Mus musculus: one gene and its partners. The protein of the gene in region 1 interacts with the protein of each later gene in a pairwise test. Links are inferred from orthologs where the notes say so. Each region holds a gene or a part of one and is shown in the gene's direction. Other genes may lie near its edges.

Region 1 (10,370 bases):
ACACACACACACACACTTTAAAAAATATTCAGTGATATTTATTGCAGTACTTGTTAAAGGCAGAATTTCTGTAGGGCCATCATAATAGGCACAGGGATTACCTTAGTGGGATTTCTGCAATAGGAGAAAAAGGTTGATCTCAGCTCACAAAAAAAAACAAGGGCAAGTGGGAATTTATAGCTGAGAAGCAGGGTGGGAGTCAGCAAAAGAAGGGAGGGAGGATAGATGGATGGAGATGGATGGATGGATGGATGGATGGATGGATGGATAGATAGAGGTTCTAAAACAGGGTTAATGCTGGAGATTGGTTATGGTGACCAGAAAGCATCTGGGATAGTGGATATTGAGAAATTTACTTAGGGATCAAAGGTACCTAGACCTAGAAGATAAGGGGTACTACAAAAATGACTTAACACAATTTTTGCTTAAACTAGATTTTATAAGGAAGTGTATAAATGGGGCTAAGAGAGGTTTAGGAGACTGTTGAGAGTTTGGTTAAACAAGGAATGTTTATCAGAGCAACCTTATTCACTACCCACTCAGGATACCTTTTCTTCTTAGAGTTCAGTGCCGTAAAGCTCTCGGCTGATAGGATATGACAACAGAAGAGATCAATCTTGCCTGAAGCGGCTTTATAGGCAGCATTAACTCCTGCAAACAGGACACTAGGGAAATGTGAATTCTCTTCTCATCATGCTCACAGTACTCAACACTGTCCTGACCCAAAGTTGAGAGCTTGGAGGGGACAACTGTGGCCCTGGGCAGTATTTTCATGGCATGCTGGGCTCTGCAGATTTGCTGGTGGTGACGTGATTTTTATTTGGCTGGATGAGTACAATGGAATATACTGTGCTATTTTCATTCCCTCAAGTTCATTTCTGAATCATTGCATGTCTGGTACCTGGGCATGCGGAAGGAAGCAGATAACAGAAATGAGTCTACAGCTGGAAATGGTGAGGGTTGGTGTGGGGGGTTAATACAAATGAAATCTCTGATTAACCTAAATGTCTGAAGATTCTCTTAAGTGAGTATCCCATCTTCAAGACATTATTGTCTAGGATCTCTTGTCTCTTGTACAGCCATGGCACATGCTGATCTCCACTGATAACTCACTTAGTAGACATGGGAGATGGAAGACTGGTTTGTTTGCTTATCTATCTATCTATCTATCTATCTATCTATCTATCTATCTATCTATCTATCTATCTATTTGACAACTATATATCCAAAAGTTTCCCAAAACAATGGAAAACCCATTTCCCTTTTTTGTTGTTATTTTGCTTGTTTGATGCAGGGTCTCATAGCCTGACTAGACTGGAATTCTTGGTGGACCTGCCTTCTAACCTCTTGTGCTAGGGTTACAGGCATGTCCTCCCACCCTACTGTTCTACAACTCCCACAGAACTGGGAATTAAACCCAGGACTTTGCATACTGGGCAGACACTCTAGAACTAAACCATATCTCTAGCTCCAAACTTGTAATGTGATAGGTGAAGCAGCAAACTCCTAAAATTCCAGCACTTGGGAGGCTGAGGCAAGAGGATCAATCAATTTGAGTTCAAGGTCAGCTTGGGCTACAACATTTAGTTCCAGCCAGCCTATGCTATGTAGGGAAGGCCCATCTCAAACAAAACAAACAAAAAACAAGCAACAATGAAAACACTAAAAGAAAAAAAAACTAAAGCTAAAAGAAAAACTATTGCCACATTTATATTATGGGAATTTTAATTCTCTTCAGGGATATCACTTTGGCAGCTAGTTTTGTGTATGTTCTGGTGGGGGGTGTTTTTGCTGTTTCTGTTTCTGTTTCTGTTGCTGTTGCTGTTGCTGCTGCTGCTGCTGCTGGTGCTGCTGGTGTTTCTTTGCTTGTTTTGTTTTTTGGCATGCTCTCACAGAACCAGATAGGAAAACTGCTGTGTAGCTAAGGATGACCTGGTCTTGCTTCTGACCTTCTAAAGACCGAGATCACAGGCATGTATCATTACACCCAGGCATTTTATGCTTTTATCAGGTAGGTGTTCTGGAATTATTTGCTATCAATATCTATGTAACTGTCTATTCTTTTTCAAAGTAATATGGTTTGGTTCCTAGCATACATGTTTTGTGGTAGAGAATAACTGCCTTCGAATGAGGTAGCTAAGAATATATTTTGAAATTTGGGGAACATTCTATATCCCTTGTCATAATAAACCAGGGAGTTTTAATCAGCACAGGTGATTAAGGGTGAGCTGATGTAGTGATTCATGCCTGTAATCCCATAGTGTGTAACTTTTCCTGGGGAGAGGTGAACAAGGTCTATTCACCCAAGATAAGGTACCAACAACAGACCAGAGAAACAACTCCACACACATCTGGCTCAGTGAGCATGCATTATTGGGTTATTTGTTTATTGGAAGTACAGGCAAATGGTTACTTATAGAAACATAGCTAACTCAAATGTCATTGAAAAGCCCACTGCAGCATGGGTGACAAATGGTCTTTTCCTTGGAGCTCCACACACAGTTTATAGACAGTGTGGCTGGTTAAAATCTCTTCTCCAGCAATTAATTGTTACTGCTTATAGTAATGGTAGTAGGGCACTTATGAATCTTGTGACTTTCAGGAGATTCCTGAGCCTTGGATATGTCATTTACTTCCTGAGTCTTAGCTTCCCTCTTTCCTTCAAGATGGAACCATACAAATCAGAGGAAATAGCTACACAACATCTCAGTCTTGGGAGGCTGAGACAAGAGGATTACTGTGGGTTTAAGGCATATTGTATAGTGCTTTCAAGGCCAGAATAGACTATAGTCTGAGATCCTGACTCTTAGGGAAGAAGGAAGGGAGAGAGGAAAGAGGGAAGGAGAAAGAGAGGGAGGGAGAGAGGGAGAAAGAGATTAAAGATAGAGATGGTCAGTCATAAAGGTGTCATACACCTTTAATCCTCAGGAGGCAAAGACAAAACAATCTCTGAGTTCAAGGACAGCCTGGTTTATATACTGAGTCCAACTAGAGATACACCATACCAACAGCAAGACTCCATCTCAAACAAACAACAACAACAACAACAACAACAAAGCACCTAAAACCAAAAAGAAAAAAAATATCATTACCAAATCTGTACTGAGTTTTCCTTCCTTGGCACATGTCACTATTTCAGCTGGTCTGTGTGTGTGCTGGCATCTAGACCACCAGTCCTCAGGAAGTGCTTTCAAATCCTCACAAAACCAGTAACAAAATAATTAACACTGAATATCAAATTCCAGGTGTTTTACATCATTTTGCATAATTTAATTTCCATGTAGCCCAGACTAGCCCTAAAGTTAAAAGAGTAAGTGTTTACTCCTGCTTTAGCATCCTGAGTGCCGGGTGTGCACACTTTTGCCACCATGCTCAGCTGGAACACTGGGGTTTGCAAAGACCAAACTCTTTCCCAAAGACCAAACTCTTTCTCAGTTCCAGTACTTTCCTCACAAGCCTCTCTCATACTCTGAATATTGCACATGGAGTCTTTTTTAAAAAGATGTATTATTTATTTTTGTAATAACTATGTGTTGATGTCTGAGTATATATATATATACCACTTGAGTTGCAGGGACACTTGGAAGCTAGAAGCAGGTGTTGAATCTCCTGGAATGGAATTTTGGCTTCTCAGCAGTTAGTGCTCTTCATTGCTGAACCATCTTTCTAGATCTAAGAAATAATTTCTAGGAGTTGAGAAGCATGCACAATAATTCCCAGCAGCACATAAAAACAAAACAAAACAAAAACAAAAAACAAAAAACAAGCCGTGGGTATGAAAGTACACATCTGTAGTCTCAGCACTCGGGAGGTGAAGGTGGAAATATCAGACGTTCAAGATCAACCCTTGACTACATGGTTTGAGCCCCCACCCCAACCTCCACTACACCTCGTACCACCATCACCAATCAAAACCAGCATAGAAAAGTGCATTAAAGCTTCTGCTAAGGAAGTAGCCAAGGGTCATAGCTCCTCCTCTCCTTCCTAGAAGTGCATTGCATGAGTTCACTCCCTTAATCTAACAACAGGCCTCGGAAGTGGGAGGTATAACCCTCATTATGTTGATGAAAACGTGAGCCGCAGCAAGGATAACTTTCCCAAGGTCACAAAACCACATGACGCCAGAAAAATAGGGTTTAGCATCTATTTCTTGTTTTGCGTGTGTGTGTATATAGGTGCAGTTGCCATAGTGCTCTTGTGGAGGTTGCAGGACAATGTTGTGGACTCAGTTCTCTTCTAGCACATTCATGGGAGTCCCCAGAGTCGGGTTCAGGTTTAGACAATGAGCACCTTTCACCTGCTGAGCTCTCATGACCACTTTTTTTTCTAACAAGAAAAACACCCTCATGTTTCTAATTACCAGGAGGGCAGAATGGCTAATACTTTTTCTAATTTCATCAGAGATGATGTCCCCCTGCCTTCCCTGCCCCTCATGATTGAACTGTTGTGATAAGAGTGCATAAATCAACATAGGGAAGACCCCCTTCACCTCCCGGCTGTCATTCTTGGTTTGGCCTAAAATCAGACAAAATTAGGAGGTGTCACCAGGCAGACATGCCTCTCTTGTGCTGTCTTTTCTCTTTTCTTTCTTTTTCTTTTCTTTTTTTTAAAACTACATTATTAGATTTTATATGAATAGCATCTCTAAGCACAGATTTACATACAGCACATCAACGTGTGAGGTGTAAAGTCTGAAGTCTTTCTATTCCTGGATCCCCCTCACTCAAATTTCTCACTTGCATTCCACAGTTTTGGATGACAAAATTATTCCCACCATCCAGCCCCCTCACCTTGGAGCTATGAACGACTTTGGAGTAAGGCGCACCTCTTGGCTTGTCCACTACAACCCCTAATAGAATAGGAAGGGCAGTCCAAAAAGTGCCAGAGGCTCTTTGAGTGTGTCTGTCAGTATCTGCCTGCCCATCTACTCCATTTGCCTGCATTTTTATACAAAACCTAGTGTTGGGCCATCTGAAGAATCCATATTGGTAGCGATTGCACGCCCCCATCTCGGAGCTTCTGAATATTCATGTGGGAAGCAGAAGGGCCAGTATCAAAGAAGGGAGGAACGGCAATTCATAAATATTAATAAAGGTAGGTCCACGTGCTCTAAGGAAGCTATGAGTGTTCACGACAGGATGACGTTCAGGCCCTGGGCGCGCCCGTTAGGCGGGTTCCCGAGTGCGGGCGCGCCTCCGGGAGCCCGGGCACGAGCGCGGGGACCAGGCGCAGCCGGAGCAGCGGGGGAGCGCTCGCTGGCTGGCTTGCCCGCTGACGTTGTGCTGCACCGGGCCACCTCTAGTCGGTGGTTGGGGATGTCTGGCTGAGCCCTGGGATCCGATTCCTTCCTCCAGGACCCGCTCAGGTGCGGTGGTGGGAAAGGCGATCTTAGTCTGGACTAGCCCCAGTCCTGGGGGCGGGTGTGTGTGTGTGTGGGGGGGGGGGGGGTCGAATTCGGGTGGTGAAGAAGACCAGAGGATTGGAGATTCTCTCATAGGATTCCTCGGGTATGCGCTACTCTCATCTCCTCTGGGTCTTTTCCTCAGAAGTAAAAAGAAGGGTTCGTGGGCCGTCGTCCTGGTCTTTCCCAGTCTTGCGGGAGCTCAAGCTCAAGGGCCCCGGAGTGGGTACTGGTAGCATCATCTCAGAGCATCGTGTGTGTGTGTGTGTGTGTGTGTGTGTGTGTGTGTGTGTGTGTGTGTGTGTGTTCATGTGCAACACAGTGCCGGGAAACCCTATCTGATGGTGCTGGAGCAATGTGGACTCCATATGTCATTCCAGGACCGTTATGTGTTCCGCTTATCTTAGGCGTCTCAAAATCATCTTTGTCCCTACGAATCTGATCCTGCAATCTACTTGTGCCCCTCCGCGGCGTGTGGAGCCTTCCTCAGACGGGGCATTCTCGCAGTGTCAGACCCTCTGGCTGCAGTCCTCTGGGAGCGATTGTTTTACTACACAGAGCAGGTTGGAGAAAGGACGAGTGTGACGAAAAGGAGTGTGCAGAGCCCGCCCTCATCCTTGGGGCCCAGGGTGCTGCAGAGCGGAGGTTCAGCTGAAGGGGTGTTATACAATCCGTTCTTCTTGCCCTCTTGTCTTTCCCTTTGCATCTTGTCTCCAAGTACGACTCACCCATCCCGGTGACCAGGTCTTATTTGGCAAAGGGAAGACAGTGGAGTATGAGCAGGGGCTGCGTGGGATGAGCCGTGCATCCTCAGAGTGCCAGCCATTGTGCTGCCTAGAAGAGCCTTTCTTTACTCCGACAGAAGAGGGAGAGGAGGTCTGAAATGGAGGTGAATGGAACAGAAGGGGGGGGGAGGGTACCGAGTCCGGTGAAGGGGTTGCTGAGCCATGTGCAAATGAGTATTTATTCTTTCTGGCAAAATGGACAGCTTATACTAGCCAGGTTTTGCAGAAGAGCAGTGGGAGTCTGGAAGTGGATAACAGAGGGCATTTTAAGGATCTATATGGGAATGGGAGGGGAAGCACAGAGTCAACTGGTCTACAGAACAAGTGATGGAAAGACCAGGGAGATGGGATGGCATGTGTGGAGGTGCAAAGAGGCCCAGCAGGGGAGGCACGATGAAATCTCCCTCTCATCCACCATGCATTCAGCTCAGTGAAGCAGACTGGGGACTTGTACTGCAGACCCAAGCTGCAGCTTCTGTACTGTTAGGCTGCAGGGAGAGGCTTTTTCCCATGTTTCCTTCCGAGTGTCTGTTGAGGACTGTGCGTTCCTCTTCTAAATTACACCACATATTTGGAGTCCTAATAAGTGGAATAGATTGTATGGAACACTTACACTATAGTCCTGGATTGTGTTCAATAATAAAAAGACGAGTTTCCCATGATCCCTCTCTGCCATTTTCACATATTTATTTATTTTGGAATCACAAAGAAGATGGCTATTCCTTTTATTAACATTAACTTGTGTGTGTGTGTGTGTGGCAGGAGGGTGGGAGGTGTGAAGACAGAACCCTAGATGTCACATATGCGCGGCAAACGCTCTGTGGCTTAGTTGCTCCTGTAGCCTTAACGTTAGCTTTTAAGGGAGGAGGACTTGGAGAGAAGCTAAGGCTGAGGAGCCAGCAAACTTGCCAGGATGGAAGGATGCAGGGTTACTTCAGACGTTTCAGATGAGAAGTGAAAGCAGTCTACCTAGAGGAATAGAAAAGAAGATGGACTAGAGAAAGAAGGTAGGGGGGCCAAATGAATGGGATATGCCAGCACTCCAAGCCTGGGAACCCCTTCTTGAGGTTTGACTCTCATTTACTCTGCCACAGCCCCAGATACAAATGCTCCACTCAGGTTAGAAACCATGTTAATACAAATTCCCAATATACAAGCTCAGTTTTAGCATCATCTGTCTGATCATTCACAGAGTACCTCACGGCTCCTGGGTGATGAGTTGCTGAAAAACCAATACTATAGATTGAAAACAATATTATAGATTGTTTCAACTAACAATGTTTCTGGACTCTGAACCTTGATATCCATGTCTTCTTTTATAGCCATTTTTTTAAACTTTTATTTTTAAAAAGTATTGGCTGTGTGTATGTGATGTGTGTGTGTGAGTGTAGACGTGAATGTGCCACACAGCACAAAGGTCAAATTTCAGAAATTAGTTCTACTGTGGGATCCAGGGAGCAGACTTAGGTCGTCACGTGTGCAGGGTGAGCACTTTTAACCGACAGAACATCTAGAGGCCTATTTCTTTTTATAGTTTTTGTAGGTATATTTTTATTCTTTAGGGGTTGTCTGAGTCAAATATACTCTCTTTTTGATACTCCATTTTATTTTGATTATTTTTACTTATGTGTATGTGTGCAGGGGCCATATGAGTTCAGGGGGCATTGAAAGCCAGAGTCATTGGATGACCCCAAAGCTGGAGTTAGAAGCATTTGTGAGCCACCCTATGTGGGTGCTGGAAATCGAAGTCGGTATGTGCTCTTAACCACTAAGACACCTTCCAACTCCTAAGCACTTATCTCTGTTTGGTTTTCCAGCATTCCAAGCTCAGTACGTTTGTTGACGTGCTTGATTGAGGCAGGCTTTCATGCATCCCCAAGCCTGGTGGAACATGCTATGTAGCCAGGGAGGGCCATCAAGTCTTTCTGCCACCGTCAACCCAGTGCTAGGATTTCGAGTGTGCATCACCACAAATGGCTTCAGGTGGCCTCAGTCCTGGATTCTGGTTGGGTTGTCTGTTGTTGCTTGCTGATGGAATCAGTATCCTTGCTAGCATCACCTTCTTATCCTAGATCCTGTCACTCCCAGAGAGAAACACCCATTTCAAGGAAGTTTAAGTATCTGAAGTTAACTGACTGGCTTTTGAATCTCTCAGAAATGAGGCCTGTGATCCAGGAAATTTTGACAAAATGAATTTTAAAAAGCCTTGATGAAAAAGATTCCCAAATCCCTCCAGCAATTTCGAAGCAGCATGCACTACATATAATGGCAGGGATATTTTTTCTTTCGTTTAAAAAATGCAACCCTGGATGACCTAGAACTCACTATGTAGACCAGGGTGGTCTTGAACTCACAGAGAGTTGCCTGCCACTATCTCCTGAGTGTTTGAATTAGAGCTGTGAGCCACCACTTCTGGCCTCCACACTTTCATGTAAGTAGTATATCCTGATTTTCTGAGGAAAGCCAAATAGCCTTCAGATGTAACTTTATTTATTATTTAAACAAGTTTTTAGATATATTCACTTTGTATGTATGAGTGTTTTTCTTACATATATGTCTGTGTACCACATGCATGCCTAGTGCCCTTGGAGGTCAGAATAGGGAGTTAGAAATCCCCTTACCCAGAAGATTGTGAGCTGCCATGTGGGTGCTGGGAATCAAACCAAGGTTCAGCAAGAACACTAAGTTCTCTTAACCACTGAGCCACCTTTTCAGTCCCTATTTATTATTATTTTAAAATGTTTTTCTTATGTGTGTATGTGCTTGCGCATGGTGGTATGCACATATGTATGTGGGGAGCCTTGGAGGCCAGAAGATAGCATGGAATTGGAGTTACTGGGGCCTGTTGCGAGTGCTGGAATCCAAATTTAGGTCTTCTACAAAAGCAAGTGCTCTTAAACACTGAGCCATCTTTCAGCCCCACAAACACTATTTTAAACCACATTTAGTAGATGAGGAAACAGAGGCACAACAAGCAGATAGTTTGCACAAATTCTCACAGCTAAGGTAGATAAGATAAGGTCTGGATTCTCAGATAACAGACCACCATAGTCTTCATTGGCACAGATCTTTTCTACTCTTCCTCCATCTCTCCTCCCCTTCCTTTCTCCCCTCCCCTCCCCTCCTTCCTCCCCTCCCCTCCCCTCCCTCCTCCCCTCCCCTCCCCTTCTCCTTCCCTTCCCTTCCCTTCCTCTCTCTCTCTCATTCTCTCTCTCACCATGGTCAGAAATTTTAGGGCTTCATTTTGCAACACCTTTTCCCAAATACTCCCAAAATTCTTTTTTTTCCCCATTTTTCATTTTATGTGTGGATGTTTTCCAGCATGTATGTATGTGCACCATGTTCTTGCAGTGTCCAAGTCTGCCAGAAGAGGGTGTAGGACACTCTGGGGCTAAAGTTAACAGATTGTAGTGAGCAGCCGTGTGGGTGCTGGGAATTAAATCAGGGACTATTATGCACCAAATCATCTCTCCAGCACCTCTATTCCCAACCTTTTAAACTGCTATTTCTCAGAGCTGCCTGGCACCTTCCTTTATGAACCTGGACAACTCTGTTGTTTACATAGTTTACTTTTAAATTGATGGTGAAATTTTTACTAAACTATTTTTCCCTTTTAAAATGTCTTTACTAAATATCTTCACTGCCCCAGTGACTTGTTGTTCTTAGTTTATTGGTGTGCACAGTGTCTTCATCCTTTGAATTTTCTGCCCCTTTCTTGGTACCTTGAGTTACTCTTGGCTCATTTACTGTCTACAATGGTTCCTCTGGGCTGAGCTTCAGTCATTCTAGATCTCCGTCACCTAACATCAGAATTCCCAGGGACTCCTTTCACTTTCTGACCCATCATTGGGATTTCTACACCTTCTCACTTTTCCCCCGTCCACTTTGTCCTTCAATTGGTGTTTTTCTCTGTGTTGAACAACTCTTCTTCCTCTTCCTTCTCTTCTTCGTCTCTTTCTTCTTCTCTTCTATTCTCTCTCTCCTTCCCTGCCTTCCCCTTTCCTTTCCTTTCCTTTCCTTTCCTTTCCTTTCCTTTCCTTTCCTTTCCTTTCCTTTCCTTTCCTTTCCTTTCCCTTTCTTTCTTTCTTTCTTTCTTTCTTTCTTTCTTTCTTTCTTTCTTTCTTTCTTTCTTTCTTTCTTCTGATAGGGTCTCATATAACCCAGACTGACCTCAAATGTGTTAT
Region 2 (10,195 bases), on another chromosome or scaffold:
GAAGAGGTGAACCTCGGGAGAGGGCTGCTATGTGGTACAGGCAGTGTCCCCCATGCGCTTAGTTATCTGCCAACTCAGGAGCCTCAATCCAGATGGCAGGAAGAACCACGTGTTACCCCTGTCTCCACACCAGACTCTGGGTAGGGAGTCACACCCAGGGCACAGGAAGCCAGGGAGGGCAGCAAGAGGCACACATGCTAGCCAGCCTTTACCTAACCAACATTAAAGATTGAAGACCTAAGCCCTTGGTCAGCCTGGTGTCCACTTGAGCCTTTGAGGCAATGCACAAGAGATGGCGGCTCCTCATGTCAGGTTCCACGTGCTACAGTCTCTTGTCTCTGACCCCTTTTTACTGTGTTTCACAATGAAAACCCAACAACTTAGTTCTAACTGAAAGGGCGCTTTTTAGCATTGTTGGGGTTAAAAATGGGGTTTTAAGTTCTTGAGGTCGGAGAGTCATTTCTTTCGGTCCCTCTCCTGTTCACTTTCGCAGCTGCTGAATGCCATGGTAGCAAAGCTGGGGAACCGAGAAGACCCACTGCCACAGGACTCCTTTGAAGGGGTGGATGAAGATGAGTGGGTGAGTGGCACTTGGCCCGGCTCCCTCAGCCAGCAGCACTGTCCTGGAGACAGTGTGCTGCATTCTTTCACCTCTCAGGCCTCTAACTCCTGCTTCCTGCCTCACCCCAGGACTAGCCTGCACGCGAGGCACGCCTAATCACAGCTGCCACTGCCACCTCCTACAACTACCTGCTGCCCTCCACACCTAAGATCTCTGCAACCTGGACAATGCTGCACTGGCCCTGGCACGCACATCCAGCTCAGAAGCCCTGGGTGTCACGCAAGCCTCAGGCACTTCCACAGCTGTGGGGCCTCCATGCAGCTGCAGAGACTGCCTGCTCCTTAACCCTCTGGAGCCAACTGTTTATCTTCAGCTGCCTGTTAGCATGTGACACCAGTGGGTGGGAGGTAGGTGTCAGTAGCATGTCTCTGGGCCAACTCGGGATGCCCTGTCTCTCCCAGTCTTTCTGCTGGTTTCCTCTAATATCTTCAGTTACTACAAGCCAAGCTGTCTTGCCTACTGCACCAGCCCCAGTCAAGGACACTGGGGGCTGGTCCCCCACCAAGCTGTTGGGAGCCGCTTTCTCCTTAGGGGCCTAGGACCATTTGTCCTGCTTCTCCTGGCTTGAGGAGAAAGGGTCTCATGGCGCTAACAGCCTCATTACAGTGGTGTGGACCCCATAACAAACAGCCTATATAGGATATGCTCTGGATGTTTCCAGCAATTAAACTTTTCTAAGCTGGCTGCCTCTTGTGCTGCTCCACTCCCTGGGAATATAGAAAGAAGGATACAGGGATATGAGTGAGCGAGCAAGATTTGGGTCTGTTCCTGTTCGTGCTGGTTTCACTTTGCTACACGTTCCTTGTAATATACAGGAAAGATGGCGCTCCGCTGACTGCAGCTCTGTTACACTAGGGAACCAGTGGTGCATAGGAAAGCAATGAGGAAACGGAAAAGGAGCTGACTTGGGCTCATGGCAGGGTCAGGGCCTGAGGGGGAGATGTTTCCGTTCCTAAAGTGAAAACTAAGATCTGCAGGACCCAATGGCAAGCAAATGGAAGGTCAGCACTGTACGCAGGGAAGGGAGAGTGTGGAGGTAGGTTGGGCACTGGTCTAGGTCAGAGGTTCTCAGGCTGTGGGTCACAAACCCTTTTGGGAGGTCAAGTGACCCTTTCACAGGTGGCTTAACATGTTAGAAAACACAGATATTTACATTACGGTCCATAATAGTAGCCACAAAAATAATTTTATAGTTGGGGGTCACCACAACATGAGGAACTATGTTAAAGGGTTAGGAGAGTTGAGAACCACTAGTCTAGAGGCATCTGACTTAAGGCCATTCACCAAACATACATGAGTACCCATGCCAGGCAGCCGTCCCGGTGCTTGATAGCTAGGAGTAAAGGCATAAATGTCCTGCTCACTGTGAGTGCCTACTCTAGTAGGAGACATAGCAATGATAATAAATGTTAAAAAAAAAAAGAAGAATTATGTCATAGAGCAGTGTCTCTCATCCTTCCTAATGCTGCAGCCCTTTGATACAGTTCCTCATGTTGTGAACCCCAATCATAAAAAATACTTTCATTGCTACTTCATAACTGTAGTTTTGGTACTGTTATATATCACAATGTAAATATTTCTGGAGGTAGAAATTTGCCAAAGGAGTTAAGATGCACAAATTGAGAACTAAGGGGAAAAAAGGAAGCATGAAATGATAATGGAGTCACAAGACCATGTGTTGTTCCGATTCTGAGTCTGTGGACTGTTGAGGAGAAACCCAGACACAAAGTACAGATGAGTAGATTTCAAAGTAGGGACGTGCGTGGCTGCTGGGCAAGAACTGGTCTGATCTGGATGTTGGTCATGGCAAAACTGAACTGTACACTCCAAAAGGTGGAACTGCTTGGTGTGTGAATTACGGCTGTCTTGATGGAACTGTCCCAACACACAGACACACAGACCAGAGAAGGTCTTGTGAGGACTTGACGAGAAGCCTTTGCAAACCAAGCAAAGAAGCTTGACTAGAGACCAAACCTGGCATAAAGATTCCAGAAGCAGCTGGGCAGTGGTGGCGCACGCCTTTTGATACCAGCACTCAGGAGGCAGAGACAGGCAGAATGCAATGAATTCAAGGCCAGCCTGGTCTACAGAGTGAGTTCCAGGACAGCCAGAGTTACACAGAGAAACCCTGTCTCAAAAAAAACAAAACAAACAAAAATCAGAAAAGAATAAACTAAGCATCTGATGTTTAAAGGACACCTCAGACCTTTGAAATCAGGACAGCGTGCTGGGCATGCCACTGTAGTAGGGGACTTGGTGGCCCTCACTGAGGAGATGGCATTAGATTACAAAGTTGACTGAACATGGGCAGAAACAGTTCCTCAGGCGTCTAGGAAAGAGCTTCACCAGAAGGGGCAATGTGAAATAAATCCTATTTTGAAATACCTGGTTCTCTTAAATATTCTAGCGATTTTAACATCCAACCCTATTATACTCTGGTTTATTTCATATGATAGCTTCTTCCTAAGTGTTTTGGGAAAATGAAGGGAAGGCCACCAAACTGCACCAAGTCTGGGGCCGCCCACTGGTCCTCTGGCCCCGAGGCAGGCTCCGCCCACATGCGCGGTGCCGCGAGAGTCACGCCTCTGGAAACGCGTCGCGTCCTTGCGCACGCGCTCTCCGGTCTCCCTTGACCTCTGACCCACCAGCAACCCTTGAGCTGGTCCCACTGGGTCGGGAAGCGGCACCCGTCCCCCTAAAGTGGAGCGTCCGCCATGGTGAGGCCCGGGATGGGGTGTTCGGGAAGGGAGGTCAAATCGGAGTCCAGCAGCGGGCTCTGGTCCTGATGCCGTGAGCCCCCCGGGTTCCTCACAGGAAGCAGAGTCTGTAGCGTGGCGCCCGGTCGGTCGTTGGTGCCCGGGCAGTGACGACCGCGGACCGGGGAATCGAGGCTCGGTTGGCGGAAAGCTCCCGGCCAATCCCGGCCTGTGCGTTCCCTGCCTCGGCGTGCGCGGTCCGCTGTGGGCAGTGGGAGGAGACGGTCGTTGACTGGGCCGGCTCCTGAGTGGCAGGACTCGGCGATATTGGTGTTGTGTCGCTTGGCTTTTAACCGCGTTTGACAGTTGGCTCATCCAAGGAAGTGGTAGACCTGAGACTTGCTAGAATTGAAACCAGAAAGGCTGAGCGTTTTGGCACCATTGGCACCTGAAAGTTGCCCGCAGGTTCTTGAGATTTGCCCCTAAGTGATTGGAAGGTTAGGGAAGCCTATTTATCTGTTTGTTTGAGACTAAGTACCACTATGTATATAGATAGTGTGGCTCGCCCGGAACGCCCTATGTGCTCAAGCTGGCTTTAAACTCACTGAGATCCTTTTGTCTCTGCCTCTGGCTCCCAAGGGCTGGCAGTAAAGGTGTGCGCCATCTCACCCAGCTGGGAGCATCTTCCTTGACCATGGGAAAGTAGGTAGTAGTTAACCGCTCACAATGCGTTGTCTGGAGCTGAAGCTTTATGTAGATTGTCATTTAAGCCTTCTCAATCGTCCCCATTTTAATTTAAGGGATTTGAAGCTCAGAGAATTTGACTTTTCCAAGCTCATCTTTCCCACAAGAGTCAGTTTGGCCCCAGCTTTGTTCGTGTTCTGTTCTGAGACTAAACATTTGCCACTATATTATTCCTTGTAATTAGGTCGCTGCCATTTAGTAAGAACCTTTGTTGGTTCCTCGTGGAACTCGGTCTTTAGCGTGCATTCTCCACATTCCACCTTGAACTTACCTCAGCTGCTCGTGTAAGGCTTATACTTGTAAACCCAGCACTTGAAAGGCTGGGCCAGGAAGATCAGGAATTTGTGAGTTCCAGGGCAACTTTAGTACATAGGGCTGAGAGTATAGCTCAGTGTTGCAGTGCTTGCCCACCACAGGTAAAAGGCCTTAAATCCATCCCCAGATGGATTTCTCATCCAAAAGAGGATGAGAAAGTACTGTTGGAAGGTGAGGTAAGAGGAGCCTAGAAGATTACCCCTGGGAGTCCGATTATGTCTAATTTTGTCAGGTCCTTAGGAATGGCCCAGGTTTGGGTTGGGGTACTGTCATGCTTTATAACTCAAACCCTCCTGCCTCCGCTTCCCAAGGACACTACTACCACCATGCCTTGGCAGTGTTGAGTCTCTGACAGTGTCTAGATAGGAAGGAGGTCAGTGCAGTGCATCAGAGGTGGGGCACTGTGCAAGAACTGGGCCCCCGCCAGAGCCTTTCCTCAGCATTGGAGGCATACAGAAATCCTGCCTGGGGAGTGGACTGTATGAGACTGTAGCTTTGACCAAACAGAGCTAAGAGTGACTTGATTAAAGTGTTGATTCATGAACAATCATGTTCTTTCAGATATGTGCTGTTCAGGCCAGTAGGGACCCAGAAACACTGTCATAAATGCCATTGTAGTGCCCACCTTCCTCCTGTCTAGCTGGGACACCAGTAACTATTTGTAAGGCCTGCCACTGTGCACTGGAGGAACACTGTACACAGACCTGAAAGCTAGGGCCCTCCTAGTGCACTTCCATGACTTAAGCATCATTTTTGGGATCCCTGCTCACCACCCTTGTTGAGGTTCTTTGTGCCATATTGCTTCCCAGTTGGGAAATGAAATGTGGTGGTCTGCATTTCCACCTTGCCACTGGGGTATTAGAAGGATACTTGGGGTAAACTGAGGGATAAACCTCCTGCTTTACTTCTTGATGGTGGGGTGCCAGGTTCTTGGGTCACCAACATACTGCTCAGGAGAGGTGAAATACAGTCTAAGATGGGGGGATCATGTTGATAAAGGTGATAGACAGTGGGGGCTGAGAGGATGGCTGTGGTTCTCAAACTCCTGTGCACCCAGACATCACTGGGAACCTCAAAGAGTTGATAACAGGGGCTGGAGAGATGGCTCAGCAGTTAAGAGCACTAACTGCTCTTCTGAAGGTCCTGAGTTCAAATCCCAGCAACCACATGGTGGCTCACAACCACTCATAATGAGATCTGGTTCCCTCTTCTGGGGTGTCTGACGACAGCTACAGTGTACTTACATATAGTAAATAAATCTTAAAAAAAAGAGAGAGAGAGAGTTAGAACAGGGCCTGCGATGAGCCCTAAGGTGTGGGGAATCCAGCTTAGCTCAGGGTAGTGCCAGGAGTGCTGAAAGAGCTTCTGCAGGAGACTTAGGCACTAGGCACTGCTCTGTAGGACACAGCCCCCACCTTCCACCCTCATGGTGGTCCTTGATGAAGGTGACAGTTCTTGCTTGTCCAAACTGCTTTGTTAATGGTGAAGATGCATGCGACTTACTCGGGGTGAACCAGAGATTAAAATACCTTTTGCAGGAAGGGATACCCAGGAAGAAAAGCTCATTGGTAAGGAATCCCTAGATAACTCGTTAGCAAGAGAACTGTAAGTTCCATGCTATGTGACTGGTTGTCATGGTCCCCTTAGTGGAGTGTCATGGTCGTGTGCTCCAGGACGGGAACCTGATCAGGAGCTAGTCTGAACTCCTGCCATTCTCCATTTTAAGTTTTATCGGGGTTCTCAACTTTGCTACTACCTTGGCAGTTCTCTGTCTGATGTCACCGTCCTCTGCCCCACAGTAGCGTGTTGCTAATGGCAGGTTTCAGGGTCGGAGTCCTGTCTATGTTGCCTGCCCTCAGTTACTGCTTGGTCTGAAGTTACCCACCAGTTGAGCTGGCAGGCTTGTCAGTGAGTTATTTAGAGGCCTTCTTAGAGGGGCCTTAGTTATGGCTGTTTGAATACCCTTGGAGTGGGCTATAGCTGGTAGAGCTCTGCACGGGAAGTCTCCAGCTGTGAGCAAAGCATCGACTCCCCGACCATGAGCACCAAGCAGGTACTGTTTGAGAGCAAAGCCAACTGGAGCTCTGACTCTAGGACCCTCCTTACCTGGCAGTCCAAGGCTTTACACCTCTCCTGCAGATATTATTCTCCTCACGTTGCAGTTTTAAGATGTGGTTCAGAAAAGTTGAGTAATTTGTCCAAGGCTACAAAGCAAAGGAAGGATTCCAGTGGGTTCAGCCTCTTTTTGGCTCCTTTCCCTTCTTCATTGCTCCTAGAAGACCATTGTGTAGATTTTACCTCTGAGGTACCAAAGGGCCTGACTGGAAGAAATTGTGGTTTTGTTCTTTTCTTCTTTCTTTTCCCTTCCTTCCTTCCTTCCTTCCTTCCTTCCTTCCTTCCTTCCTTCCTTTCTTTTAAAAACAAGCAGGGTCTCCTTATATAACCCTTGCTGGAATTCACTATGTATACTGAGGTGACCTTGAACTTGTGGCTGTCCTACCTCTGCCTCCTGAGTACTGGGATTAAGGCATGAACCACCAGGCTAACTGCCTGACCACTGAAAAACTTTTTTTTTTTTTTGTTTTTTTTTTTGTTTTTTCCAGACAGGGTTTCTCTGTGTAGCCCTGGCTGTCCTGAAACTCACTCTGTAGAACCGAACTCAGAAATCCGCCTGCCTCTGCCTCCCAAGTGCTGGGATTAAAGGCATGCACCACCACGCCTTAAAAAACTTTTATTAAAACAGAATAATAACAGGTGAAGACCAATACTTGCTGGTTACCTGCTGTGTCATTTAGGCTTCATGCTAAACATCAATCTCTGATAGCCACTTGTGCTGTCAAGAAACTGAGGCACATAGGGGTTGAGAATTTGACCAGGGTAGGAAGCTGGGATGGGTACAGGAGATAATCTCAATGATGGCCTACATAAATGCTCTATCAGTCTGCCAACCTCCAGAGAACATCTCAAACATGGGTAGTTCTGTCTGCAAATCCCTGGTGGCTGGTGGACCTCTGCAGGCATTTTGCCTTCTCTAATAGCTTCTAGGCTTGAAGTGTTTGAGGGTGGAGTGGGGTTCTGAAGTTATAGCTTGTTTTATTGTTTTTGTTACTCTGCATAGAGATCTTTCTGAGTGTTTATATAGTTCTGGCCATCCTGGAACTTGCTATGTAGACCGGAGCTGTCACTGGACTGAGAGATCCACCTGCCTTTGCCTCCGCAGTGCTTGGATTAAAGGTGTGCACTATCATGCTGGCCAGCCTCAGTTCTTTTTTTTGTTTTGTTTTTGTTTTTTTCGAGATAGGGTTTCTCTGTGCAGCCCTGGCTGTTTTGAAACTCAACTCTGTAGACCAGGCTGGCCTCGAAACTCACAGAGATCCCCCTGCCTCTGCCTCCCAAGTGGTGGGATCAAAGGCGTGCGCCACCACTGCCCTGCTCAGCCTCAGTTCTTAACATTATTTAACAGTAGTCATGGACCTTATCAGAAAAGTACATCATTGCTTCCAGGGCCCTGGGATGGATGTGTGGCAACAAAAAGGGCAGACTTGCTGTGATGTGAGATCTCCTGAGGGGGGTTGTAGATCCAGGAGCCCTCTAGAGCCAGTCAGAAACCAAATTCCATCTCAAAGCTTCCTGTCCTACTTGGCAGTGGTTCTAAGTGAGCAAGGCACAAGTCAAGTGAGATTACCAGTCAGCAAGCGCCTTGTTACTCCTGATCCGTGCCACAGCTGCCCAACCCCATGCCTGTCTTTGATCACAGAAGGGACTTCTCTGGGCCATGCTTTCTCATATGGAAGGTAGGGCTTATAAAATTCCAATCTACTGTGAGGTTTCCCTAATGACCCATAATTATATCTGCTTGCTAAAGAAAGGACAGAGCCTAGAAGCCAGAAAGGCGAATTCTAGAGTCTGAGTCTTGATGCAAGGCCACCTTGTTATCCCTTTGGAGTAAGGCGCTATGGGTAATAGGACTTGAGCTATCCCAGCCCTCTCACTGGTTCCAGTAAACCTCTTAAGTTCTTGGGGTTAAATGGCACAGGCACTAGAATGTGTTTGACACAGTACCTGCTACACAAGCTCAGTCAATACTTGTTGACTGAGAAAATTAGCCACAGGGATGTACTAGGAAGAAAGGTCCAATCTTTCAGCTGTGCCACATGAGCACTGCTAGGGCAGTGAGCATTTTTTTTTTAAGTCCTCGGCTTGTCCCTTTATATCACTTCACAGACATGGCATCCAGTTGTGTGTGTTTTTAATCCATGTGTAACTTTTTATAAAAAGAATATTTTATGTATGTGAGTACACTACAGGCTGTCTTCAGACGCACCAGAAGAGGGCATCAGATCCCATTACAGATGGTTGTGAGCCACCACGTGGTTCCTGGGAATTGAACACAGGACCCCTGGAAGGGCAGTCAGTGCTCTTAACTGCCGAGTCATCGCTCCAGCCCCGTGTGGGATCCAGTTTTATGAATACTGGCTACAAATATTTGTTTCACAATAAAAAGCTTACTGGTTCTCCACAAATCCATCCTCCCTTCGGTGGTTTTCCAGCCTAGGATGTTCCCAGGGTGTCTAATCCTAGACCTGCCTGCTTCACTTGTGGCTCAGTGACATGGCTCCACCTGCACCTCAAGACCCAGTCTACGAGAAATGCTGTCTTCCCCTAGAACTTCTGCCCCATTGTTGATTATTCCCTCATTAAACTGCTGCTGGTCAAGTCTCCCTAGGGCCTTCATGGTACTTTGATTTACATAGTATTGGGATCTGGGTGGCAATGCCATATGGGAGTTGATTTTTCTGCTTCAACGGTGGGTGTACAGCTTGCTCTGAAAGCAGGAATTGGGTCCCATGCATCTTTGTCCAAAGCAAACTGACTGAATAGACCTGTGAACCCAGTAGCTTAACACATGACTGTATTCTTCCAATTGCTGGGTTCCTACCTTACTGTATTACTGAATTCCTTTGTAAGCTCTTCTCTCTTGAGCTTTGTGGACCCTTAGCTCTCCCCGCCCCTTTGTATAGCGGGGTGTGTGTGTGTGTGTGTGTATGCACACCTGTGCATGGCTGCATGCACAGTGGTGTTAGGTGTGCTTTTTTTTATCACTCTCCACCTTTTTCCTTTGAGACAGGGTCTCTCTCTCTGAACTGAAACACTTGTTTTTGGCTAGGAAGCCCCAATGGTCCTCTTGCTTCCACCCTACTCGGTGCTTGGATAACAGGTACACACAGGGCAAGACCATTCCTGGCTTATTACAGATACTGGGATCTGAACTCGAGTCCTTATGTTTACATGAGCAAGCACTTTTAATTGCTGAACCATCTTCTTGGCCCCCATTTGACAAGGTTTTACTATGAAGTCCAGTCTCATGATCACTCTGCCTCAGCCTCCCCGATGCTAGGATTATAGGCATGCGGTACCACACACAGACCTTTAGTGATTTTTGTTGTTGTTATATTCATAGACGGATTTCAAGTCATAGGACTTGAATAGTCTTGCGAGAGTTAGGATGGATCTGTTTTCCCTGGTGATATAAAAGCTGGGCCAGACAATTTCACAAGTACAGGAGAGCCATCAGTGGCCTTGGACTAAGCTGGTGGCAGTCTGGACTGTTGGTTCTCGAGAAAAAGTTTCTTCCCAAAAATAATGTCTTCATCCCATCCAGCCTTTTCCTGGAGGCCGAGGGAAGCCAGTCTGCCTCTGTGAACTCCAGTGTGAGTGTCTGGAGCCACCAAAGAAAGGATGCTTAGAAGAGCTAGTCCATAGATTCTCTGCTCAGTAGCCATCTACAAGGTGCCTCTTTTGCCCACAGGCCAAGTAC
Region 3 (10,444 bases), about 29 Mb from region 1:
CATACTAACTGATTCGTCTGGTTTCTTTCTCTCTGATTTTCCTGAATTCTCTGTTTGGCCTCATACTAACTCTGGCAATATGTTCTATCTTCTATCTCCTTCTCAATCTTGCCTCTCAATTAGACATCATTTTCAATCTTTGATGCTTCCTTCTACAAATTGATTTTACCTTCATTGTTTGGGATTAAAGGTGTATACTAAGGGCATGTCTGTATTCCATCCAGGGATTATTAAAGGTGTGTGCTAAGGGTTGAGCCACACCACAAGTAGAAACAGGGTTTTTTAGTAAATAAAACAATCTCAGGTTCACAGTGTGATTATATCTTGCAATACTTTGTCAAAGAGCAGGAATAGACCCAACAGACCCAACAAAAATTGTGGTACCTTTTACTAATGCTGAAATTGCCTCAGTATGGGCAGAAAATGCTTAAATGCTTTAGTCTCCCTTCTAGAACACCATCAGGAGTTCTTTTTATATAGTCCCGACAAATGAATACCAACAAAGAATGGCAGGGTGAACCAATACCATACAGTGCTATCCATTCGTTGTCTGTTGGGTTATATTTATACCCTTTCCAAATACCACGTGTTCTCTCAAGTATCCGATCTAGCAAAACACCACATGTCTGTTCTCAGCAAAACACCCTCCCTTGTTTCTGCTTCAGCAAAAACATCCTCTCTTAAGAGTTTCCAGAAAAACATTACATGACACAACTAAGTCTCCAAAGAAATAGAAATTTCCAGTTCAGATATTTTTGTTGTTTGGTATTAAAAACACATTTAAGAGATTTAAAATATTTCAAGTAAATTCAAAGAGTTACTACAGTTCAAACTTTGATTTCTAAATATCCAAGAGCTGGTGTGTTTTTGGAGATAAGATAAAATATTTGAGCAGGGCTATGGTAGATCGTGCCTTTAATCACAGCAGAGGCAAGTAGATCTCTGTAAATTAGTAGTTTTTTAAATTCTAGATTTAGTGAACAAGGTGGCGGTGGTACATGACTTTAATCTCCCCCAGGAACAAAATGATCAAACAGAAGTATAAATTCATTTTATGGGATCCTGTCAGGAATAATACTAATAAAACACAGATAGATAAATCTCCAGTTCTGATAGCACACTGTGCTTTCTGAGCCTCCTTGTGAGTGCACTCCTGGATTAGTGAACACACACACACACACACACACACACACAACTCTTTTAGTATGTGAATTAGTGATAACTGAGATTTCAGAAGGTGGATTAAGGGATAAAAATGGTGTGGTTCTAAAAGGGAAAATGCACTGCAGCTTTGTAAGATGTTGCAAGTTGGGAAACCAGGATAAAGGACACGCAGGCTCCTTTGTATTGTTTCTTACAGCTGAATGTGAGTCTTAAGTTTATACCAAAGAAGTTTAACTTTTTTAACTAATAAGATGGAAGGATTTCCCTTTACAATTCTGGCTTATAGCCATTAGTCAGTTTTCTTTCTTTCTTTCTTTCTTTCTTTCTTTCTTTCTTTCTTTCTTTCCTTCTTCCTTTCTTCCTTCCTTACCTTTCCCTTCTTTCCTTCCTTCCTTCCTTCTTTTCTTTTAAAACATGACACCCTGGAGCCAGGCAGTGGTGGCTCATGCCTTGAATCTCAGCACTGGGGAGGCAGAGGCAGACAGATCTCTTTGAGTTCGAGACCAGCTGGGTCTAGGGAACCAGTTCCAGAACAGCCAGAAGATCAAAGCAAATCAAAGATATTGAAAGAAAGATGAAATTTCAAGACCTGTATGTCATATAAAGTACTCAGAAATTGCTGGTTGTTTGTGAGCCTAGAGGCTGCCTGGGGCTGAGAAAAAAGAAAAACAAACCCGGGCATGCCCCATAGTTAAAACATTCCTGGGAACAGCTTGACCATAAAGATAAAGAGGAATGTGAGGACATAACAGGGCTATCTGAACTGAGTCAACAACTCATAGAACTCTGACATCCTGCACGTACATGTAATTTTTCTGCTGATGTTTGAATAAGCCAATAGCATGTCGCTATGCTGAATTCCACACCCCTAAGCTCCTTACCCCATAAAAACCCCTAGCTTTCGAGCCTGTGGCCAACATCCGTTATCTCCTGTGTGGGATGCATGTTGGTCCGGAACCCCATCATTAAACTACCTTGTGTGTTTACATCAAAGACGGTCTATTCGTGATTTTTTGGGTTTTGGGTGCACACCAAATCGGGAATTGAGTGGGGGTTTCCCCACTAGGTTCTATCAATATGACATATGGACACTGTAACATCTATCTCTCCAAGACCACCTAGCTTCTCTTTGTGTTTCTGTGTTTTACACCCTGCATTCTTTCGACCCCCAGCAGACATACTGCAAATCACTAGTACCTGCTGCTTCCATCCTGTGTTCCTCTCATAACTTTTTGTTGTCTTTCAGATCTTAGCCGGAGCTTCAGACCGTGTCTCTAGTCCCTCTAGAACGTTAACAATCATCAGGATTTCTGAATTCAAGACTGAATTGGAGAGGCCAAACCTACTCCATCTTGGGACCAGCCTCCATCTTCAAGAAAAGAAAAAAGCAGAACTCAAGCTGCACCAAAATACCAGAAAGGACCCCATGGCTTGTCCTTGGCCAGAGTTAATCCCTAGCTACTTCCTAGCAACAGTTAATCAAAGATTAGTTTGATTGTTTCAGATGTACTTTCAAACTGTTTGTGATCAAATGCACGATTCAGGGCACCCAACTATTGGCTTATAGTCATTCTATTAGATGCTTGCCAGACTGGACAACCCCTCCCTCGCTTTGAAAGAACCTAGTGGGGAAACCCCCACTCAATTTCCATTCGGAGCGCACCCAAGAATCACGAACAGACAACCATCTTGATGTAAAAGCATGAGGTAGTTTAATGACGGAGCTCCGGGCCGACATATATCTCCCTCAGGAGACAGAGGTGTCGACCACATGGTGGAGCCATAATGGCAGAGCTCCGGTTCGAAACGTATCTCACACAGGAGACAGTGGTTTCGACTCTGACGCTTGGAAGCTAGGGATTTTTATAGAAAAGGGATGGGGCTGGGGGAGGAATTGGCGAGGTTTCACATGATTGGTTCATTTAAACATCAACAGACTGTCAGAAGGGCGGGAGATAGGGGGGCATGTCCTGGCCTGTTCTGCTATGTTCTCAGCCCCAGGTTTCAAAGCTCACAAACAACTCTTTGGGCTATTTGACATAAATTACATGAATCACATGTCTCAAGTTTTATTTCCTTTCAGCTTTTATTTTTCTATAAAAACTTGTTCTACTGAGGGTTCAGGGCTGCTCCGCCTTCTCTTTCTGTCCTGCTGTGTTAAGGTCGATTTGGAGGAGAGCCCGAGCCTGAGCCCGAAATAAACCCTAACATCGGAGACGGATCCTTGGTGGTTTGGGAAGGTTCAAGCTTCCTGGCACGACAAACCAAGGTCCTGCACTACGCCTCGCTTCCGGGAAGTGAGTCAAGCACCGGTCGCACGTTATACACGTCACTTCCTCCTGGAACCCGGATAAAGAAGTTCCCAGATTACTGTCACTGCTCCCAACCGCTGCACTACAGACATGGCTCTGCCACCTTTTTTCGCCCAGAGCCGTCAGGGACCTCCCCCTCCGCAGCCACCGCCTTCCGCTCCATTCGGCTGTCCGCCCCCGCCGCTGCCCTCTCCGGCTTTCCCGCCGCCCCTTCCCCAGCGACCCGGCCCCTTCCCGGGGGCTTCCGCCCCCTTCCTCCAGCCTCCGCTGGCCCTGCAGCCCCGCGCGCCAGCCGAGGCCTCCCGCGGCGGTGGCGGTGGCGGCGCCTTCTTCCCGGTGCCACCCCCACCGCTGCCGCCGCCGCCGCCGCAGTGCCGGCCCTTCCCGGGGCCCGACGCCGTCGAGCGTCCACGGCCACCGCCTCCAGGTCCCGGGCCGCCCTGGAGCCCGCGCTGGGCGGAGGCGCCGCCGCCGCCCGACGTGCTCGGAGACGCGGCCCTGCAGCGCCTGCGTGATCGGCAGTGGCTGGAGGCGGTGTTCGGGAACCCCCGGCGGCCCGGTGGCCTCCGGACCCCGCGCACACCCGCCGGGCCCAGCCTGGGTGAAGTCCGCGCGCGGTTGCGTTCCGCTTTGCGTTTGGTGCGGCGGCTACGCAGCTTGGGGCAGTCCCTGCGCGAGGCTGAGGCCGACGGAGCAGCCTGGGCCTCCCTGCACGCTCAGGCGGCGCCACTACGAGCGGAGCTAGCGGAGCGGCTGCAGCCGCTGGCCCAGGCCGCCTATGTGGGCGAGGCGCGACGGAGGCTGGAGAGGGTCCGGCGCCGCCGGCTGCGGCTTCGTGAGAGGGCCCGGGATCGGGAGGCTGAGCGGGAGGCGGAGGCCGCGCAGGCCACGGAACGGGAGCAGGAGATTGACCGCTGGAGGGTGAAGTGCGTGCAGGAAGTGGAGGAAAAGAAGCGGGTGAGAACCAGTATGCGCTCGGTGGTTGGAGCTGTGGTGTCTGGAACTCGAATCTGCGTGCTAGTTAACTTGTATGCTTATCCGCGAAAGCTAGCCTTTGCCACTTCTTTGCTCTGTATTCCTTGTTGACGATGTGTGGTGCATAAAACTCTAGAATTTGGACTATAAAGTCCCTTAAACACGCGACAGGTTTACACTGGTGCATTTCTGGGAGGACACACCTCTTGTGTCCTGCTTCAAAGTTGGATCCACTTACTGAAGATGCAGAGCAGTATCTTTTATACTGTCCTAAAGCATGCAAATGTAGAGGACTTGGACCACACCTAGAAACCTTTATAACATAATTGGCTGATGAGGTTGATAATAGTTCTCTCCCGGGTTCATTTGTTTTGGTTTGATACTATGAATACCAGTGTATCCGGTGGAGTGGGTCTGTCTGGATCAGGTGTTTCCAGGTACTTGGCCTCTTACTCAAATGATTGAATTAAGGACTCACACAAAATTGTAAAAATAGCAGGAAAACTATATTCAAAAACAATGCAGTAAGTAGCAAGTGCAGATTAGAAAGGAAAACACTGTCAACAGATTGGCAGCCACAAGGCCCATGAGATACTCCGGTTATTTTTGGAGAGTGTGCATAGCCCGGTCCCACTGGTCTCTCAGGTTGCTGTGCTGTTTTGTCCATGCCTTCCTTACCCCTGTTCAGTACTCATATCTATAGTAGACACTACACTAGTGTCCTGCACACAATCCCGAGGAATTCATTACCCTAATTTTACAGACTGAGACTTAAAGCAGCTAACTTGACAGCAGTCACACAAGCCTGTATACCAATATTACCTCAGATTTAGTCCCAAGTTGTATGACTTCAAAGCTTGTCTGTCTCATGTTCTTCAGTAGAACCCGGGAGAAAGTAGGATTTGCCAAGTGTAGGTTGAAGACATCCTCATTTCCTTTGAATGCTATTACTATTGTTATTGTTGTTTCAGAGTTATTTATTTTGGGTTTTGTGATTGTTTTGCCTGTGTGTGTATGTGCACTGCATATGTGCCTCCTGCCTATGGGGTCAGAAGAGGACATTGGATCCCCTGGAACTAGAGTTACAGATGGTGATGAACCATCTGTATGGGTGCTGGGAATTGAACCCTGGTCCTTTGTAAGAGTCACAAGTGCTCTTAATTGCAGACCCATTATTCTAGTTTATATATATGTTAGTTTTATTTATATATACATATATTTGTTAGTTTTTGAAAATATAATTACATAATTTCCCCCATTCTCTTTCTTCCCTCCAGCCTCTCAATGCATCTCCCTTGTTCTCTCTCAAGTTCATGGCCTCTCTTTCTTTACTTATTGTTACATGTATACATAAATACAACCTGACTAGTACATTTAATGTTACTTGTATGTATATGATTTCAGGGCTGACCACTAATAATGAATTGAGGTGCTCATCCCTGGGGAAAACGGTTTCTCTTGCTCTCGGCGTTTCCCAGTTGCCCATAGTTGGCTGAGGGTCTTGGAGCTGCTCCACTTCTGTGCTAGCATGTCTGTTGGTTTTCAGGTGTTGTTGTTTCTGTGCTAGCATGTCTGTTGGTGGTTTTCAGGTGTTGTTGTTTCTGTGCTAGCATGTCTGTTGGTTTTCAGGTGTTGTTGTTTCTGTGCTAGCATGTCTGTTGGTGGTTTTCAGGTGTTGTTGTTTCTGTGCTAGCATGTCTGTTGGTGGGTTTCAGGTGTTGTTGTTTCTGTGCTAGCATGTCTGTTGGTGGGTTTCAGGTGTTGTTGTTTCTGTGCTAGCATGTCTATTGGTGGTTTTCAGGTGTTGTTGTTTCTGTGCTAGCATGTCTATTGGTGGTTTTCAGGTGTTGTTGTTTCTGTGCTAGCATGTCTGTTGGTGGTTTTCAGGTGTTGTTGTTTCTGTGCTAGCATGTCTGTTGGTGGGTTTCAGGTGTTGTTGTTTCTGTGCTAGCATGTCTGTTGGTGGGTTTCAGGTGTTGTTGTTTCTGTGCTAGCATGTCTGTTGGTGGGTTTCAGGTGTTGTTGTTTCTGTGCTAGCATGTCTATTGGTGGTTTTCAGGTGTTGTTGTTTCTGTGCTAGCATGTCTGTTGGTGGTTTTCAGGTGGTGTTGTTTCTGTGCTAGCATGTCTGTTGGTGGTTTTCAGGTGTTGTTGTTTCTGTGCTAGCATGTCTGTTGGTGGTTTTCAGGTGTTGTTGAGACAGTGCTGAGGGCCCTTCTGCCCTTCCTACTTTGTACAGTCAGCAAGCACTCATTTTAGGTAGGGTTTCTAGTGCTGGGATAAAATGCCATGAGCAAAAGCAACTTGAAGATAAGGGTTCATCTCACTTCCACATCCACATCCCAGTGTATCATTAAAGCCAGTCAGGGCAGGAACCTGGAGGCAGGAGCTGACACAGAGGCCATGGAGAAATGTTGCTTGCTAGCTTGCTCTCCATGGTTTGCTCAGGTGCTTTCTTATATGCCTAGTACCACCTGCCCAAGGGTAGAATCACCCACAGTTTTACTGGGCCCTCCCACATCAGTCACTAATTAAGAAAATGCACCATAGGTTTGCCCAGTGGCCGCTCTGGTGGTGGAGCTGGGGATGGCTTCTCAATTGAGTTTCCTTCTTCCCAAAGGACTCTAGCTTGTGTTAAGTTGACATAAAACTAGCCAGCACAATCTCCCTTTTTCCAGTGTCTACCACTGCCCTATAGGCCAATATGGCATTGCTGGAAAGTGTATTGATAGATTTAGCATTGTACCTCAGGAATGTCAGCACAAGGGAGGCAATACTTTAGTCTGAAAAAATTTAGTCGCCGGGCAGTGGTGGCACATGCCTTTAATCCCAGTAATTGGGAGGCAGAGGCAGGGAGATTTCTGAGTTTGAGGCCAGCCTGGTCTACAGAGTGAGTTCCAGGACAGCCAGAGCTACACAAACAAACAAACAAAAAAAGCAGTAGATCCAGCCAAGGGTAGTTTTCCTAGCAGAAGACTGAAGGCATGGTCATTGGCTGTAATGCTGGAATTGCAGGCACTTATATAAGACAGATGGGAGAGAGAACTAAGTGAGCAGATGAGGATATGGAAGGCAAATAAATCCTAGGAAGATTGGCCTCCTATGTGTGAAAGATGATTGTGTGGAAGCTGTCTTTAGGAGCAGTGAAGGGCAAACTTAAGAGTATTACTTAAGAGGCATTGTAGAGTCCTAGGCTTTTCCAGTTCCATTCCTTACCCTCCTTGGGAGCCGGATCTTTCAGGACTGTTAATTTGCATTTTTAGAGTTCCAGGTTGACAAGGTAAATTAGATTCAGGCATTCCCTGTACCATCCCTTAGGAAACACTGAGGAACAAGGGCTCAGTACAGACACTGAAGCTACTGCAGAGAGGGTCTCCTTAAGGAAGGTTATGTGGAACTGGGTGGGGTGGCTCACAACTGTGCTCCCAGCACTCAGGAGGCTGAGGCAGGGGAAGTGCTGCAGTTTGAAGCCTGCCTGGCCTACAGAGTGAGATCATCTCTCAGAGATAAACAAAAGCAAAAAAGGGGAGACATCTGTATGACCAGCTGGGAGAGGCGGATCACACCTGTGGGAGGCTGAAGTAAGATATCTCTCTTTTAGTCCAATACAAGGCTCTTTCTCTTACATTAGTAAAATATACAGGAAGAACAATTATGAAAACTATCAGGTAAAGTTACATTCACAATGTCCAGTTCATTTATATTTAGCAGCCTTGGAGAAAGTACTCTACTATCTGTCCTGTCTTGATGAGTTCAACGTTCTGCACTTAAATCACTTTCTATCACAACTCACATTTACCAACCTATAAATATTGAATCCTAAGCAACTTAAGCTTAGTTATGAGACTGTAACTACCTAGTCTTCAGCCCCGTGAGAGACCTGAGACGGAATAGATACTACTTGAGTGAACAGGAAATTAAATTTTGGAAGCAAGCAGCTTCCAGAACTATAGAAATGACAGATACAGCGACATCCAAGGCTCCACTGCTACATGGGAGTATCTATCTTTGGTCTTCTGTCCCAACATAGGACAGACCTTTCTGTGAAGCAAGAATCATGAAAGACTTGCCTACCTTTTCCTTGCAAGTCTGGCAGTTGGCTGCTTCTGTGTTCTGCTTGCCCGCAGCTTGGACAGCATGCTGTCTGCAGTAAAGACAAGGGCAGGTTCTTGCCCAGTGGCAGCTTGCCAAATTTGAGACAAACTCAATATGAAGGGTCTTTGATGCTCATCATCTTATTTGAAGTAGAATAGGGGTGCTGCCAGGAAGAGTCATGTTTCACTGTCATGAAAGGCCTTTATTAATAAAACATCTAAAATTCCATATTCTGTAAATCTCTGAGGTGTTTTGAAGATCATTATCTGTAGTATATCTGAATAGGAAATGTTGCTTGTTTCTAGCTAGTTACTATCTGTTCAACTTTGAAAAATCTACAGGAGGCTAAAGAAAGCTTATTTTTGTAATATATTAAACTAGTACCTAACATAATTATAAGTTTGACTGACTACTAAGTTGTATTTCTTTATTTTTTTTTAAGTTTAGAATAGAGTTTATTTAGGGCATGGGGAGGGGAGTTAGGAGGGTAGTAGAGGTGGGGAAAGACAGAGAGAAGAGAGTAGAGAAGTAGAGGCCGGCCATGGCCACGTGGAAAGAGGGGGAAGGGGATGGGGAGAGAAGGGGAGCAAGGGAGAGAGGAGAGGAGAGAGTAAGAGCAAGTCGGATTCCTTATTATCCTAAACAGTTTGCAGTAACAGCTTACAACAGGACTAGCACTTCACATTGCATTCAAATAAGTTGCATAGGTACAATACCTTTAATGAGTTAAAACATAGATACAGTATTTGTAGCAAAAATAACCTTAAATTTGTATCACTATACAGAATCCATACGAAATATAAAATATTTTGTCTTGTAATGCTGTTTAGTCTAAAAGTAGATTCAGTAATCTGCCCTTTTATCTTTGCATTCCTTCTCTCTACCTCTTCCTGTAACACTAGGTAGGAGGGAAAGAAGGAAAAAGAGAAAGAGATCTCTGAATCTAACTTCCTTTACTTTGTTTCCTCTCTGTAATAATAGTTCCTGAGGCCTCTCTAGCCAACAAGATTTATTGGCCATGTAGAGGTATTTCTTAGCCAGCCTTACAGCCAGTCCCATGTAGAGGGATCAGCATTTACCACCTGCTTTGTTCTTCTAGTTTCTTTCTTCATGTCTGCAGCCAGAATTTTCAGGGTGTCCCCCGGTCAAATCTGATCTTTATTCATTTTAATAGAATCCATAGCTTTTTATCTGCTGTTGAAACAAAGACAAAACTCTTCTCTAATGCAACACACTTCCATTCCGAGGTCAATACATACCTAGGCGGGCTTCATTCTCTGTCCTTTCCTAAGTCCAGTGCTTTTCATTCAGCGGCTGTGCCACGTGTCTCATTGACATTTAAGTTTTAATTCAATAGCATCATGTAATCTGTCTTTGGGAGATCCTATATTTTCTGTTTTATGAGCATCTCCTTTAGAGCATAGCTAGATCCTTTTACAATGCCTGACCTGTAGGGTTGTAAGGTATATCTGTAACATGTTTTATGCCATAATGTCTAAGAAAGTGTTACTTTCTACTGTATACATATGTTGGGGCATCATCAGCTTCAATCTGCAAAGACATCTCCAAAATAGCCATCATTTATAAATGGGTGACCTCAGAATTGTCCTTTTCAGAATTCAAGGCAAAGCCCATTGGAATTGTATCAGTTATATATCAGCATATATACATATTTTAAAATTTCAAACTCTACAAAATGAAGCACATAGCTATTGTATGACATTGCTCTAAGGTGGCCTCACATAGACTCTGTACTCTTAATTCAGAATATCACATCTCTATGAGTTGCCATTTTAGTTCTTCAAGCTTTTGTGGATTTTTCTCATGTTGAATCCTCTGATCTTTGTTCTGTGGCCTGTAACCTAGCATCCCATCTTTCAGTCCTTATCTAAGTCTAC

Evidence for each region.
Region 2: the proteins of Fez1 (region 1) and Pam16 interact in a two-hybrid assay, tested with the Homo sapiens proteins (2 studies listed by BioGRID and IntAct). The link is inferred for Mus musculus from reciprocal best matches to the Homo sapiens genes FEZ1 and PAM16.
Region 3: the proteins of Fez1 (region 1) and Pdcd7 interact in a two-hybrid assay, tested with the Homo sapiens proteins (2 studies listed by BioGRID and IntAct). The link is inferred for Mus musculus from reciprocal best matches to the Homo sapiens genes FEZ1 and PDCD7.

Annotation. Positions count from the first base shown.
Region 1 is NC_000075.6:36,827,547-36,837,916, forward strand, and holds the start of Fez1 (fasciculation and elongation protein zeta-1), read left to right. Parts: upstream 1-5,193; 5' UTR 5,194-5,365; intron 5,366-5,486; exon of another isoform or gene 5,487-5,507; intron 5,508-6,027; exon of another isoform or gene 6,028-6,290; intron 6,291-10,370. UniProt on the Homo sapiens protein: May be involved in axonal outgrowth as component of the network of molecules that regulate cellular morphology and axon guidance machinery.
Region 2 is NC_000082.6:4,617,995-4,628,189, reverse strand, and holds the start of Pam16 (mitochondrial import inner membrane translocase subunit TIM16), read left to right. Parts: upstream 1-3,243; 5' UTR 3,244-3,336; coding exon 3,337-3,339; exon of another isoform or gene 3,340-3,720; intron 3,721-6,483; exon of another isoform or gene 6,484-6,528; coding exon of another isoform or gene 6,529-6,581; intron 6,582-10,186; coding exon 10,187-10,195. Other genes in the region: Coro7 (coronin-7), read left to right, coding at 1-6, 494-580, 691-696. UniProt on the Homo sapiens protein: Regulates ATP-dependent protein translocation into the mitochondrial matrix. Inhibits DNAJC19 stimulation of HSPA9/Mortalin ATPase activity.
Region 3 is NC_000075.6:65,342,576-65,353,019, forward strand, and holds the start of Pdcd7 (programmed cell death protein 7), read left to right. Parts: upstream 1-3,492; 5' UTR 3,493-3,566; coding exon 3,567-4,433; intron 4,434-10,444. UniProt on the Homo sapiens protein: Promotes apoptosis when overexpressed.